Canis lupus familiaris: one gene and its partner. Each later gene encodes a partner of the first gene's protein in a complex. Links are inferred from orthologs where the notes say so. Each region holds a gene or a part of one and is shown on either strand. Other genes may lie near its edges.

Evidence for each region.
Region 2: the proteins of PLOD3 (region 1) and COLGALT1 are in contact, whole or in part, in a cryo-EM structure (PDB 8ZGE), measured with the Homo sapiens proteins. The link is inferred for Canis lupus familiaris from reciprocal best matches to the Homo sapiens genes PLOD3 and COLGALT1. Residues at the interface, in NP_001075.1 of Homo sapiens: Leu226, Val229, Val230, Leu231, Lys232, Phe233, Asp234, Arg235, Arg241, Gln261, Tyr264, Leu265, Pro275, Gly430, Ala431, Leu432, Arg440, Glu442, Glu446, Arg452; in NP_078932.2 of Homo sapiens: Ala36, Tyr37, Phe38, Pro39, Glu40, Glu41, Arg42, Trp43.

Annotation. Positions count from the first base shown.
Region 1 is NC_049227.1:8,579,826-8,586,913, reverse strand, and holds the end of PLOD3 (multifunctional procollagen lysine hydroxylase and glycosyltransferase LH3), read right to left. Parts: coding exon 7,016-7,088; intron 6,885-7,015; coding exon 6,748-6,884; intron 6,636-6,747; coding exon 6,472-6,635; intron 6,314-6,471; coding exon 6,201-6,313; intron 6,060-6,200; coding exon 5,996-6,059; intron 5,684-5,995; coding exon 5,586-5,683; intron 5,371-5,585; coding exon 5,269-5,370; intron 5,083-5,268; coding exon 4,957-5,082; intron 4,768-4,956; coding exon 4,646-4,767; intron 4,348-4,645; coding exon 4,243-4,347; intron 4,147-4,242; coding exon 4,021-4,146; intron 3,707-4,020; coding exon 3,565-3,706; intron 3,483-3,564; coding exon 3,369-3,482; intron 3,160-3,368; coding exon 3,091-3,159; intron 2,322-3,090; coding exon 2,217-2,321; intron 1,696-2,216; coding exon 1,549-1,695; intron 1,271-1,548; coding exon 1,145-1,270; intron 813-1,144; coding exon 657-812; 3' UTR 374-656; downstream 1-373. UniProt on the Homo sapiens protein: Multifunctional enzyme that catalyzes a series of essential post-translational modifications on Lys residues in procollagen. Plays a redundant role in catalyzing the formation of hydroxylysine residues in -Xaa-Lys-Gly- sequences in collagens.
Region 2 is NC_049241.1:45,661,981-45,670,094, forward strand, and holds part of COLGALT1 (procollagen galactosyltransferase 1), read right to left. Parts: intron 3,706-8,114; coding exon 3,629-3,705; intron 3,552-3,628; coding exon 3,445-3,551; intron 3,247-3,444; coding exon 3,114-3,246; intron 1,935-3,113; coding exon 1,807-1,934; intron 723-1,806; coding exon 516-722; intron 303-515; coding exon 35-302; 3' UTR 1-34. UniProt on the Homo sapiens protein: Beta-galactosyltransferase that transfers beta-galactose to hydroxylysine residues of type I collagen. By acting on collagen glycosylation, facilitates the formation of collagen triple helix. Also involved in the biosynthesis of collagen type IV.

The DNA of each region.
Region 1 (7,088 bases):
GAACACATGCTTCCAGGGGGCCTTCCTTCCCTTTGCACTGGCCCCAGAGCCCCGCACAGGGCTCTGACATCCCACAGATGCCCTCAAGTGACAAGAGAGTCAGGGAGAAGAGGCTGGGTCTGGCGGGAGAGTGGGGGTAGGCTTCCACCTAAATCTAAGTGAAGTCCTTGGGGCCTGGCCCTTCTCAGGCTCCCCATGCTACCCCTACCTCCAGAAATGGGACCCAGGGAAGCTTCCAGGTTCCCACACTGCTCTACCATCCGCTTCTGCCTTCTCCCCTCTGTTCTTTTTCTGTGGGGTAACTCCTTCCGCTCTGGTGGCAGGAGGGATTCAGGCTCAGTAGGGAGGTGAAAGACATACACAGACTCAAGAGTTACAAATCCTCCTTTATGGGAGGGAGGCTGAGAAACAATAATTTATTGTATGGGGAGCCCCCAGAAGCCTTCTCCCCAGGAACCTTTGGGGACCATGGGGAGGGGCATGGGGGCTCCAGGAGCTTCCTGAGAGGGCCGTGTGTTGGGGTGGGGAGGCGACACATTCAGTCCCAGGCACACTGAACATCCGCTCAGGAAAGGAGGCGCCAGACAGACCCCCTTCCAAGGAGGGGGGTGCAGGAAGGCACAGCGGCAGCGAAGGTTTGGCAGAGTGGTTGAGTGTCAGGGATCGACAAAGGACACCATGATGTAGCGAGTGCCCCGAGTAGTGGGCAGCCCCTCGTGGTAGTGGGTGAGACGGCCGGGGTGCAGGAGCCCCCAGCCCTTCCGTGGGGATGAGACTATGCAGTCATAGCGCAAGAAGCGACAGCCACCTCCCTGGAAGAAACGGAGGAATGGAAGTGGGCAAATCAGTAGATGGGGGGCGGGGGGCACAGGAGGGTGAGAGGCTGGATGGGGGGCTTGGGGTGTCAGCATACAAGAGAGGCACTGGGGTGGGCTGGGGTGGGGGGGTGGTGGCAAGGCACACAGCCTGAAAGAGGTCCGGGAGGTGGTGCAGGCGAAGTAACTGGAACCAAGAAGAGGACAGGCCAGGGACAGGTGCCTGAGGGTGTGTAGGGGTTGTCAGGAGGCCCAGGGCTCAAGTGTGTATGTGCGTGTGTGGAGAGGCCCTGCTGGTGCCCTGACGGGGGAGGGCACTCGGGGCTCACCTCATAATCCAGGCCCTTGTGGTTGAGGGCCACGTTGAGAGTGAAGGTGGATGAGTCGTGATGGGGCCGCAAAGAGGGCTGCTCATCTGGCCGGTAACGGACCACAAAGTTCATCACTGCCCGGGTCTGTGGGGGGCACGAGAGAAGAGGTGGGAGGGATGGCCGTGAGGTCACAGGGTGGGCGGGGGCGCTTCTGAGGAGGTGAAGCCTCAACCCAGTGGGAGGAGGGGAGGAGGGCTGCAGGGATCTTGGCCCTTGGGGGTATCCTGCGAACTCCCCGGGGGGCTGCCATCCAGTGGTATCCCTTCCCTCAGGACTCCAGATGCTACAGGAGCTGAAGGAGCACCATGTGCAGACTTCCAGCCAGAACTGGGGTGTGGGAGGAGGCAGGGGTGGCAGCTCACCTTGGTGTGGTAGCCTGGGAACAGGCTCTCTGTCATGGGGCCCACGTACGTCCTCAATAGCTGCAGCCACTGGTCTTCATAGCCCACCTGCTTCATATGGATGTCCACAGTGGGCACATTCTCGTAGCCTCCAGCCAGCCTTGAGTCCTGTGGGCAGTGGGCACTGAGCCCAAATAGGGCCATGCCAGCCGCTCCCCCCTGCTCTGAGGCCCGAAAGCTTGTGTGACGTGCATTTAGGAGCCTCGACCACTCTACCTGACTCCCTCTAACTCACCCTGAAGATGGTACCTCTTCTGGGAAGCCCCTTGGTCACCCCCCACGTCCAGGCCAAGGGCCCCTCCTGTGACTCCTACAGCATCTGGGCTGCCCATCACAACCTTCAGGAGCAGGGCTCCTGCTATTGCCTATAGCAGGTGAGGTGCAGGAGGGCAGGGCTCAAGCAAGTGCTCTACACCAGAGCGCCCAGTTCAGTGGTGGGTGTCGCAGACCTGCCTGCCTGGTAAGGAGTTTCTGAATGAATGCATGCATGCAGTTGTGCCCCCCCTGGGTCCCCAGCACTCTGGGGGCCCCACCCTGCTCCGACTCTCATGATTCCATTTCCCTTCATCACAGCTGCACCTTCCCTGCCCCAGGGGGTGGGGAGTCCTCCCTGCCCCAGCCCCTCTCACCTCATGCCGGCCTCCTGACCACTGGCCATAGTGCTCCATTTCCTCCACCAGTTCGTCACACATCTGGTCGGACAGCAGGGGGAACCAGTACACATCTGGGCACGGCTGAGGACAGACAGGGCAAGAACAGGGCGGGGAGATGCTTGCAGACCTCTTGGGGAGCAAAGCAGCCAACCGAGGGGAGTAAAGGCAGGGAGCAGGGATGCCTGGGTGGCTCAGCAGTTGAGCGTCTGCCTTCAGCTCAGGTCGTGATCCCGGGGTTCCGGGATTGAGTCCCACATCGGGCTCCCCACAGAAATCCTGCTTCTTTCTCTGCCTATTTGCTTCTCTCTCTTTCTGTGTCTCTCATAAATAAAATAAAATAAGATAAAATAAATAAAATAATAAAATAAATAAAATAAAATAAATAAAATAAAATAAAATAAAAAATAAATAAAATAATAAATAAATAAATAGATAAATATAAAATAAAATAAAATAAAATAAAATAAAATAAAATAAAATAAATAAAAAAGCAGGGAACAGAAAAGGAAGCCAGGAGATGGGAGAAGCTTGGGGATTGGGACTCTGAACATGGGGGCTAGCCAGGAAAGGCTGGGCCATGGAAGGCAGGTGTGGCACCGGAAAAAGTACAAATGGCATATGGCTGCCGGGGCTTTACAAAACTGTCATGCCACCCATAATACCAATAAGCCCGACAACAAGAGAGGATTGCTCTGATCAGTGGCAGGGTGGGGAGCCGAAGGCCTATCTGCTGGGCCTCCACCTTTATCTGCCTAAGCAGAAAACCCTCAGACACCCAAGAGAAGTCGGTTTGAAAATGACTAATCCAGGCAGGCGACTCAGGGGGTCAGGGGTCCTACATGGGGCTCACCTGTTCCACGAGCCCCTCCCCTTCAAGGGCCCGGCTGTAGTTCTCATGAATGTACTGCTCCTTCCAATCCTGAGGGAGAGGGAGGGGTACACACCTCCATGGGTGCCCTCTTCACTCCCTCAGCTCCCACTCAGGAAGCCCCAGTACCACAACCACCACCACCTCTCCCCACACAGTTGCTGAACTTGGGAGCAAGCGCTTGCACATGTGTCCAGGTGCCTGCATCCTCCCAGAGTGGAGGGCATGTCCCATTCTCTGAGCAAGCAGTTGGCTCTCACCAGGGGGTTGTCGAAGATCTGCCAGAGGTCCGGGTGCAGATGGTCTGTGTCATACCGGGAAGTGGCCAGGAGGCGGCCAAACTCGTGCTGATTACTAAGGTGGAGGAAGATGCCCTGGAGTGGGGGGGGAGGGTGTGAGGAGACATGGGTGGCTGCTTCTCTGCACCTCAGCTTTGGGCGCCCAGGCCCCACTCACCTTATCCCGCAGGCTCTTACAGAAGGCCATGTCTGGGTCGGTGTCACTGCCTGAGAACACCTCCCTCTGGGGCAGCTCTGTCCTCAGGGTCTCACCACGGATCACGTATGCCTGGGATATATAGGGCACATTCCACACGCCCCTGGAGGCACCCACGCTGGGGTCAGATCAGTGGGTGGCCCTCTCCCCCAAATTCTGCCCGGTTCAACCCAGGAACCCCTTCCTTCAGGGCACCCCACCCTCCAGGCCAAAAGGTCCCATCGCTTCCCTGCTAAGCACTGCTAGTCACAACACCTCAGTCTGCTCCATAGTCAGCCCCAACTCTGCAGGGGTGGCACTTCTGACTGGTGGCCACTCTGGACCCCCGAGAGCAGGGAAACGGGGGAGCATGCAGGTGTTTATGGTCTCCTCCCCAAGGCCAGACAAGAGGGTTTGCAGCCCTCCGGCAGGACTCACACTCGCTTCCGCTGTACCAGCTCCACATAGTCCTCCGAGCGAGCGTAGTACTCATCGGGGCTCAGGGCTCCCCAGAAGTTGGACCACAGCTTCCCGTGGCGGGACAGCATGGGTGCTATCACCTTCCTGTGGACAGGCAGAGGTGAGCCCTGGGCCCCAGGAAGGAGGTGGGGGCTCCCAGGAGACTATTTGGGGGCCCTCTGGCTGAGTGGGGCAAGTGACCTGTTCTCTTCAATGAGGATGCGCAGTGTCTGAGGGTTGGTGATGACGGCATCAGCGTCCAGGCTGAAGTAGAATTCACACTCTGGGTCCTGCCGACAACTGTCCCTGGAGGTGATAGATCAACGAACACTTGAGCTGAAACAGGAGCAGGTGGGGGAAGGAAGGGACTGTGTGGTAAGTGGAAGAACTCCCCCACCTGTCGAGGAGAGCAAGAAAGTGGGTAGAAGCACCAGCAAGAGGAGAAGAGGAAGGCTGGGGGTGCTGGGGGGTGCTGTGCTTGCTTCCCCAGGACCCCAGGTTCTCCTGGCTGGGAGGGTGCCCCTGTGGAGGCTGAGCATAGGCTCCATGCTACATGGAGCACCCCTTCACCCTTGACCATCCTCCCCACCCAGTGCTCACTCACATGGCCATGTCCCTGGCCTCGCCTGGTGTCAGGGCCTCCTCTGGTCCCACCAGCTTCACAGCTGAGAAGTGGTCCTGGAGCTGGGGCCAGGAGTCTGCGATGTGGGGCTCATGGTACACCTCCTGGAGATGGGAGAGAGGGGTTAGAGAGGGTAGGAAAAATGGTGCCTGAGGGACAGGAGGGGCAAGGAGGTGGATGGAAAGGATGTAAGGAAGGAGTCCGGGTGGGGGTGGGGGGTGGGAGTTCCAGACCAGGTAGGGGCAGAGTTCCTTGGGAGGGTGCACAAGGGAGAGGCTGTCAGAGTGTCTCACGTTGTTATGCAGGAACAGGGTGACCCTGTCAGGGGGGTAGTCCAGGAGCAGCAGCCGCTGCAGGAAGCGGGGCAGGAATGGGGTAGGTTGTTCTACAAACACAGCCAGAAGCACCCGGGGGGGAGGCTGGAAGATACAACATGACGACATGACGGGGCTCAGAGGAGTCCAGGCCCCCAGACCAGTGTGTCCTCTACCACCCTGGCAGGTTGGGAATCCCCAGGAGCTCCCCATGCACTGCTGCCCAGCAGGCTCTCCCTGTGCCCTCTGCCTTGATGCCTGGTCCTGCAGCACCCTAGCACCCCTCCTCACCTGCCCCCCCGGGAGTGTCCTCCGGTCCCGGCCACAGAACCCACAGCCTCCCTGAGGAGTCCAGCCATTAGGAACATAGTTTCCCAGGTAATTCAGCTGGAGCTGTTGGGAGAGGCAGTAAGAGGTAGAAGCCAAGGAGTCCAGCAGCAGAGGTGAGGGAGGTCAGGTGGACAGGCAGGGGACAGGGCAGGAAGGGGAGAGATGGACACTTAGCACCTCTCCCAGCACCTCTGCTGCTGGTGGGGTTAGGGAGGACAGGCTTGGAAGGGCTAGAGGTAGGTAGGGGCAGGGGTGGAGGGTATAAGCCATTGGAGCACCTTAGTAGGACCATTCCCGTGGACCACAACAGGAAGTGTGTCGTAGGCCACATTCCGGATCCGCACACGATTCCGATCAAACTTTAAAACCACCTCATCTGGGGAAGAAAGGCTCTGCTTTACACTCCTTTCCTCTCAAAGCTGCCAAGCAATGATGCTTCTAAGTATGGGATGCGGTTGGGTGGGGGAACCTGGGGGGGCTTCTCTAGAGGATGAAGGACTGTGGCTCTAGGGTAGGGTTCTTTCTCTCTCCCGAGGGTTCTGACCAGGCTCTGGCCACCCTGGGGGAGTTCCTAGGTAAGTCACCAGTCCCTCAGAGAGGCACTTTCCTCCCTGTAACAGGGGGTAAGCCCAGACCTTCCCTTTGAAGGGCTAAATAAAATGACAGAAGTAGAGCCCTTTGTTCTCACCTAAAGCCCCATTGAGGTTCTGAAAGATCCGAGATTTATGATCCAGATTGAGGCTGAGTTTTTCCTAGATGGGATGAGATGGGGCAGGTCACTATGCAGGGAGGTAGGCCAGCACTTCCCACTCCTTTTACATCCTCCCAAAAGTCCTACCCTCTCCTCTCCCCTTCAGCTGGAGGCTGGACAGCCCCCCTCCAGCCTTCCCTACCCTCAGCCCTGGGTCCAGGTAGAGCCGAGTATAGAACAGCTGGTCGTCATCGTCATCCTTGTACTTCCACTGGCGGACCACTTTGTGGATGGTGGGGGCAAAGCCAATGAATCCTGCAGGGGATGGGTGAGCAGGTGCTGACTCCAGGACTCTCAAGGCCCCAGGGCCCAGTCCCACTCCCTCTCTGGCCCTCAGCACCTGGAACACTCCATATGCCCCTCCATATGTCCCACCACTCTTTTCCCTCTGCCTCAGGTGCTCTGCCACTCACCACCAGAGTTGAGGAAGCGCTTCCCTGTGCCCACCTCAGGGTACTGCTCGGCCAGCCCCCACTCGGGCCAGCAGAAGCCCTCAGCGGAGAAGAGCAGGCGACTGCCACTCTGAACGAACTTCTTCAGCAGCTCTGCGGGGCTGCCAGCCAGAATCACATCGTAGCTGGGAGAGGAAGAGGGCACGACAGGACAGCAGGAACCTCAGTATCCTGACCCCCGCCCTCTGCCTCCTGCCTGCCCCTTCTTCTCCTCCCCTTCAGCAGCCCCTTCTTCACCTGTCCACGAACATGATGACCATATCCTCCCGGTCTGCATATTTCTCCATCTCCTTCTTTAGCCACCTGACCTTCTGTCCTCCACCAACCGTTCGGGCCACATCACCCCCTCGCCACTCCTCTCCCAGGCCCAGGGTCTGTGGGGAAGACCCGCCATGCCAGGAGGGGCTCAGTCGGCCAGCTGGGCCCTCCCGACCAGGCTCACCGTGGGGCCCCGGACAGCCCTCTGCCCACCCCTGGGGTGGGCGAAGGAGGGCATTCCTCTCACCCGCACAGTGTAGTTGAAGAACTCCGCCGACCACAGGAAACGCCGGTATCCTTCCGTCTCGGCTGTGGCCACC
Region 2 (8,114 bases), on another chromosome or scaffold:
GCGTGGCAGGCCCCGGGGACACGGCCACTGGCCCTCAGAGCTCGTCGCGGGCAGCACTGTCCAGCGGGGACTGCAGCACATCAGAGTTCTTGGCCTCGCGGCTCAGCGCCTGCTGCTCCCGCATCTTTTGGGATTTGGCACGGTCCCAGTCGGTCTTGACGTGCTCATTGTTCCACACGACGGAGGTCTCCGTGTCGCTCACATACCCGTCGTCCCCAGTGTAGTGCGTGGGGTAGATGAGCAGGGGCTCCACCGAGAAGGCGCGCAGGTTGCGTGGCGAGAAGTGGGCCTTGTACTCGGACCTGGGGGGAGGGAGGAGGGGCGGCGTGGGTGGGGAGGAAGGGGCAGATGGAGGGAGAAGTGGGCAGGGCAGGGGCGGGTGGAGGGGATGCATGGAGGAGGGAGGAGACAGGTAGACACGTCCGTCCCCGGGGCCTGCCAGCCCCATGCCCACCCACCCAGGACAGACACACAGCGAGACCCCGGCCCGGGTGCCCACTGGAAGCCCCTCTCACACTGGGTGCTTGTCAAACATGACCGGCAGGAACTCGTCAACAGGCAGCATTTTGGAGAGAGGCTGGGCGGCCAGCAGCTTGCGGGCGCCCTGCAGGGAGATCACGTAGGCCAGCGTCCAGTAGGAGTAATCCGCCTCCACCAGGTTCCTCACACGGGGCACAGCCTTCTCTGGGTGCTCCACCTGCATCCGCTTCCGGCCCACGTAGCTGTGGGGGCAGAGTTTGGGCCCTGTCACCCTCGTCCCACCCGCTGGAGAATGCTGACTGAGCAAGTCGGAGATCAGAGATCAAGTGAGCCTCCATCAGGCCCTGGGGTGGGAGCGGGCTTGGCGGGTTTGGGGAGCAATGAGGAGGCTGGTATGGCTGCTGGACCAGGGAGGACCACAGGGGTCTGGGATGTGCAGGGAGGAGACCGAGTTTTTTCCAAGGGCACTAGGGAGCCATGGAAGAATTTGGAGCTGGGAAGGACAGGACGTCCTGGACACTCTCTGAGGCCAGGAACGCGCTAGGAAGGAAGCTGCTCTGAATTCAGAAGACTGTGGGGCAGCTGGGCAAGGTGCAGGAATGGTGAGTAGGTAGGGATGAAGGGATATGGCTACTGTTCCTATTACTAGCATGGTCCAGAGTCTTCAGCCTAGAACCTACATCAGGGCTCTGCACATAGGAGGAGAGAGAGAGAGATGGTGGGAGGACAAACCAACTCACCTACAGGAGATCCCAAAAGGCTGTTCCAGAAATACGCTAGCCACATCCTACTTAGTGCTGGTCTAAGACCCAGGCTCCCTGGCAATGCCCCACACTCAGCCATGCCCCGGATCCTGGGCACACTCCCAAGCCCTGACCACACCTACCCCAGGCCACACCCCAAGATCTCCAGCCATGCACACAGGCTTCCAGGTCAAATCTCTGCCACACCCCATCTCCTACAGGTCTTAGCAAGTCTCCAAGCCCTGACAAAGCCCCGTCCCCACAGGCCAGGTCCCTAGATTTCCCGGTCATCCTCACAGGCCTGTGGCCCTACCCCCCAGGCCTTAAGCCAAGCCCTAACTGCTCTCAGATCCAGGGACCACAGGGCCCCTCACACAGGCCACACCCGAGTCCCCTTCTGCCACAACCCCAAGAGCTGGCTGGCCTATTAATTTGCAAAGGTCCTCATGCCTACAGGCTCTGGGCCACACTTCTGAGCTCCAGGCTCCAGCTTCACCCTGCTCCAAACTTCACCCCTGAGCCCCGGCCCCACCCCAGCGCCACCCAGGTGCAGATCACACTACCAGCCCTGCCCCACACTCACATGAGGTCCCAGTCCAGACCCTCCCGCTCCACGTCCCGCATGAGGTTCAGCAGGCGTCTCTTGAAAAAGATCTCAAAGCGCAGGTCATCCTCGAAGACCAGTGACTTCTGCAGCCCGCGGTCCACGACCTGAGGGGGGTGCCCTGCCCACATCACATGGAGGCCAAGGCCAGACCTGACCCTGACATCAGCTCTGCTTAGGCCTGGGGCAGCAGGAGAGAAGCAGACACAAGCCCTCCTCGCCACCTACTGGATCGACCTCTTGGCCATTGGCTCCCCTCACACATGGCAACAGGTGCCCTGGCCTTGGCCTTGCCTGAGCTGCTCCTTCCCACCCCAGGGCCTATGCCTGTGCTGACACAAAGCACCCCTTGTCATGGCAGCAGGCAAGCCCCCAGCCTTCAGGCCTCGGCTCAGATGTCACCCTCCCCAACCACCAACCACTGGCCAAAGCTGTCAGCTGAGGACAATTCATGGCCCTGCTGTGGGTGCATCACACTTGGTTTATTGTGGTTTGCCATCAGTCTCCCCATTTCCCTGGGCTGTGAGCCCCCTGCAGGGGTATGCATCTGTCTTAGGGGCTGTCAAGTTTCCAGCACCAGCACTAGGCCAAATGCACAGTAGGTGCTTGGGTGCTCCCTGAATGCACTTGACAGTCCTCAAGACTGAGGAGGGTGACTGTCATCTGCAACAACAGGGACCCTCCTTACAGAGCTTACCCCTCTACGAGGTAGGGCTGGACTTGACACCAAGTCCTGGCCCCCTGAACATGGTAACCTCTGCCCCACACCCTCTATGACAAATCTCACTCAGGGAAAGAGCACCCGTCACCTCAAATGCCTAAATGCCCTATCTGGCCTCATGCTCCGTGGTTCCAGGTTTGAATCTCAGTCCCCACCTATCACAGCCCTCCCTTCTGAGGGTGGCTGGCAAGCCCCTGGCATGGGGTTAGCATTGCTTACTGTCCCCATGGCCGTTACTCCTAATGGTTGAGCACAGAGTCCAGGTTCCAAAGACATGTGACAGCAGTTGGGTGGGAAGAGGCCTTGCTTGGGAGTCCTGGGCCTGAGACCCCCCTTTTTCAGGAGCCAGGCTCAACCCATCCTCCTTCCCTAGTCTGCTTCCCCATCCGCATAATGAAAGGACAGCAGCTGCCCCAGCCAGGGTGCAGGTGACATGCAGGTGAAGCGTTCTCTAAAGACAGGCCCTGCGTCCTGCTGAAGTCTCAGGGTCCTGCAGGGGGTGCCCATGAGTCCCTCCCTGAGCGGCCAGTGGGGGGACCGCCCTGCCCTCCCCTGCCAGACCTACCTCCTTCCAGATGTTATAGTGGCTGAGGAAGCAGCCCAGCTCGCCCTTGGTGAGAGGCCGCCCGTGGTAGGGGTCACGGTAGCCGGGGAGCATCTGGATGCCCAGCGCCTCCACCTGGCTGGTGTTCATGGCTCTGGAGGTGGGGGAGGCGGGTCAGAGGAAGACCCACTGGGCCTGCTGTGCCACCATTAGCGCGCCCCTCTCTCTTCCACCGTTAGCACCTCTCCTGGACCCACGAGGCCGGGGCTGCCAGTGCATGGTCTACACCCCTGGACGGACCTGCTCCCCGCTGGCCCCCCATGCCCCGACCCGGGGAGAGGGGGAAACGTACTTGCCATCTACGGCCTCTACCAGCCGGCACTCGATCTCCTGCTCCTGCAGCGCCCGCAGCATGCGCTCCCGCCGATCCTGCCGCCGCTTCAGGTTGATCATGAAGACCTGCAGCCAGAAGCTCTGGTAGGACCCTCCGGGCGGCCCCCGCCCCACCCCCACCCACGAGGGAAGGCCCAGCTCACCTCGTCAAAGCCCATCTTGTCAGGTGTCTTGGTGGGCACTGAGATGAACTTGGAGGGCTCCGCTGGTGGGTGCTTCACTGTGGGGCAGACAGTGCCAAGGGGTCAGTGGGGACACTGGGGGGGTGGGGAGGAACAACGTCCCCTCCCCAACCTCTCCAGGAACCATTACCCTAAGCTCCTTGGCCTGGCATCGGAGACTGTGCCTGACACCGTTCCGCTCACAATGTTGGTGCTGGCCTCTTTACCCCCCACCTACTCACCCTGGCTGTTGACACTGCCCCAAATGCACCCCTTCCTACCTCAGGACCTTTGCACATGCTTGGCCTTGGCCCAAAACACCTTCCTTTCTCCTCTCCTTTCCCTGACCTCCCAACTAAGATAGTAATCATCGAAACTATTAGTCTATTTATAGACTTGAGTTGGACCAGGATACCTTATCCTAGCTCCCACAGCACCTGGCCTTTGATCATCAAATCCCAATCCTTCAGCCCTACCTCCCTGGCTTCCTGTCTCCCATGAACCCCGTAGGACAGACACCAGGTCTGCCCACTCATACTGAGTCCCCAGTGCCCAATGCTTGGTACACATCAGGCACTCAATAATTATTTATAGAATGAACAAAGGAATGGTGCCAAGCTGTGTGACCTTGACCTGTCGGGGCCTTGGCTTTCCTCGTCTATAAAATGGGACTCCTATTTTATTTTATTTTGTTTTGTTTTTCTATTTCATTTCATTACAGATTTATTTTATTTAATTTTTTTAAGATTTTATTTTATTTATTCATAGATACAGAGAGAGAGAGAGAGGCAGAGACACAGGCAGAGGGAGAAGCAGGCGCCACACAGAGAGCCTGACGTGGGACTCGATCCCAGGTCTCCAGGATCATGCCCTGGGCTGCAGGAGGCTCTAAACAGCTGCGCCACCGGGGCTGCCCTACAGATTTATTTTAGAGAAAGAGTCCACAAGCAGGAGGAGGGGCAGAGGGAGAGAGAATCTCAAGCAGACTCTGCACTGAGCCTGACATGGGGCTCAATCTCAGGACCCTGAGATCAAGACCTGAACCAAAACCGAGAGTCAGATGTTCAACCGACTGAGGCACCCAGGCACCCCAGGGCTCCTAATTTTAAAAACCTCCTCCTCACAGAGGCTTCAGGAAAAGATGTTGTAAAATGACACACATTATGGGTTGAACTGTGTCCTCCCCAGCATGTTAGCATCTCAACCCTCAGTACCTCAAGATGTGGCCTTATTTGGAAATAAGGTCTTTATAGAGATAATCAGATTAAAATACTGACTGGGATTCTCATAAAAATGAGAAATTTGGATACAGCCATGCACACAGAGGGATGACCACAGAGACACACAAGGGAAAGGTGACCACGTGACTGGAGTGGCATGTCTACCAGCCAAGGAATGGCAAGAATCTCAGAGTGGTCATGACCACTGCCCTTCCAGCTGCTGTGAACAATGCTCAGACCAGACCATGTCCCCAGAGCCCCATCTTGGCACATCCCTGGTGGTCTCCCTCAGAATGACCAGATCCTTGGATGGATATGAGGCCGGGGTGGCTTCTGCACGCCCACCGCCTGACCCACAGGGGCCCAGCCTGACAGTGAGTATGGCATCTACCCCATCAAGAATAAAGGCCCTATATGAGCCTGAGGGACAGACAAAGCCCCCCTCTGTCTGGGACAGGCCTAGGTGAGGCCCAAAGCCAACCTGGGCTCCCTAGGGACACTGCATCCCGGGCTTTCCTCCTGCCCAGGGCTCTTCACAGCTCTGGCTACTCCCCATCCTCTTTGGGGAGCCTGGAGACCAAGGGCCAGATGTTGGGATCTGAGGACCCGGGTCCAAACTCCAGGTGTCGTTTCCCTTTTCCCGAGGGTCTGCCCCTCCACTGGGGAGTGTGGAGGCAACAAGGCCTGCCTGTGGGACGGAGGGTCTCCTCACTCTTTGGCATCAGTTCTGTAAAAACGGAGCACACCAGACATCCAGAAGGAACAAAGCAATTTAGTCTTTCCAGAAAGTCACATCACAGTGGTTATAAAAACCTAACACCTCCAGGCCCATCATGGGGTGAATAACCAAACTTGCCCAAAGAAAAATCTGGCTTTGTCCCCCAGCTTCTGAGAGGTGGAAGCCCTCTGAACATCCTGCCTAATAAGACTGGGGCCTGGGGTGGTCTATGCCAACAGTGTGATTTAGGGCAGGAGGCTTGGGTCACGTGGAATCAGCTCGCCCTCTGCAGGGGCTAGAGACGGAGGTCACCCATGTGGTAATCAGCCAGCTCCATGTGGGTGAGCCCCAGTAAAAACCATGGACACCAAGGCTCAGGGAGCATCTCCGGATGGCAGTACACCCTGCATATTGTCACACAGCAGTGCTACAAGTGAAAGCTGTCCACACGACTCCACAGAGAGGGAACAACCGGAAGTTCCATGCTTGGAACTCTGCTGGGTGCCACCCCAGATACCTCTTCCCTTTGCCAATTATCATCGGTGTCCTTTTGCTTGTAGTAAACAGTAACTGGGAGTGTAATGGCTTCCAGGGAGTCCTGTGTCCTTCTAGTGAATTATCAAACCCCTAGTCTGGTCTTGGGGGCCCCATGACCTTGCAGCTGTTGTAAGAAGTGAGAGCAATCCTGTGGATATTTCCTTACTTGGCACCCACGGATGCATGTCTGGAACTCCCTCACACGCATGCTTGGGAAACTCATAGCAACCCTGGGGACAGTGGGAAACACCCTGTATCCCTCATGAGAAGACTTGTAAGTGACGTGTGATGCAGCCAAGACTGGATAAATCTGTGGTTAAACATCTACGTGTAACACTATGTGGCAAGGCGAGGAACAAGCCACAGCTGCACATGGCAGCCACGCTGGCACTGGTGGGACACTGAGCAGAAGACATGGCACTTGAGAGAGGCATGTTGGGCGATTCCACTCATAGAAGAACAAGACAGCTACAACCCATCGGCCGATGAAACTGGGGTGGCGGGAGGGCCAGGGCCTGGCCTGGTAACAGGATATAAAAAAATCATCATACCACATGCACACCACCCATTCCCACGGTGTGTGCTAACACTCAACAAACAGGATTTACACCAAGCAAGGTATATGGGGCCGATAGGGAAAGATGCCCCACTGTGCATGAGCAGAGGGAAGGAAGCAGGCTGTAGGATTCTCCATTCACAGAGAACCTTACTGAGACTTCCTGCAGGCCTGAAATTTCATCGTAAGACAGACTTTTGAATTCATGAAAAAAAATCACAGGCACAGACCAGGTCCAGGTATCCACATAATGGATGGAGAGAAAATGTCTCCACTCAAACCAGAAGGAAAGATTTACACAAATATCTGAATCTTCCAGACCCTCCTTCTGTTTGTTCTATATACTTTGCTTGGGCCCTAGAGACACAGGAAAATATTCACCCCTCTGGTGACTTCAGTTTCTGACAATAGTGTGAATGGTTTCCTGACCAGAAATGCATTAGAAACTTTAAACTAGGAAAACTAGGGATGCCTGGGTGGCTCAGTCAGTTGAGTGTCTGATTCTTGATTTTGGTTCAGGTCATGTTCTCATGAGAGCTCCACGCTGGGCTCTGCTGGGTGTGGAGCCTGCTTAGGATTCTCTCTCTCCCTCTCCCTCTGCATTACCTCTGTTCATATGCATGCTTTCTCTCTCTTGAAATATAAAAAATAGTAAAAATTAAAATAATAAATAATATAATAAACTAGGAAAACTATCGCAGCCTCAGAGACATTTCTCAGGGGCCAGTTCCCACTGGAGTTGGTAACAAGTAGAGACCTGCCTCTGTGACTGCAGCCTGGTGAGGCTGCTGGACCAGGTCTGGGCATCTGTGTGTGACAAACACTAGAATATTGCAGGGGTCCATACTCTGGTGACCCTGCAGCCTCCAGGTATTACCTCAAAATACCCAAAAATCTCTCAAAACAAAGAGGGCAGGTGCTATTCCATCTTCAGCCACCAGGGGGTGCCATAAGCAGAACTTTCCAGGGCTAGGTTTAAGAGTGGAAAAGGAACTCCAGCGCAGGGCAGGGCTCCTCCCAGTCTGTGCAGTGGGAGGAATGGCCATGCTGCCTCAGGGGCGTTCTGGGGGATATGTGTGGCCGGCACAGGGTGCGGCCCTCATGGAAGTAGGTATCATATCACTGGGTGGTTGCTCTGGAGCTCCCCAGCTGGGGCAGGAGTCCCCTCCTCAACCTTGATGGCAGCTCAGCCCTGTGTGCTTGTCTGATCTCAGGCGCCCACTAGAGGGACAGCTAGTTTAACAGTTTATGGATTTATTTGTCTATATATTAAAAAGATATGAGCTTGCAACTACAGTAAAAATATCTAGTTCCCTTTTTTAAATAAATGTATTCAAGCGGGGGAGCCTGGGTGGCTCAGTAGGTTGAGCATCTGCCTTCGGCTTAGGTCATGGTCTCAGGGTCCTAGGATTGAGTCCTGCACTGGGCTCCCTGCTC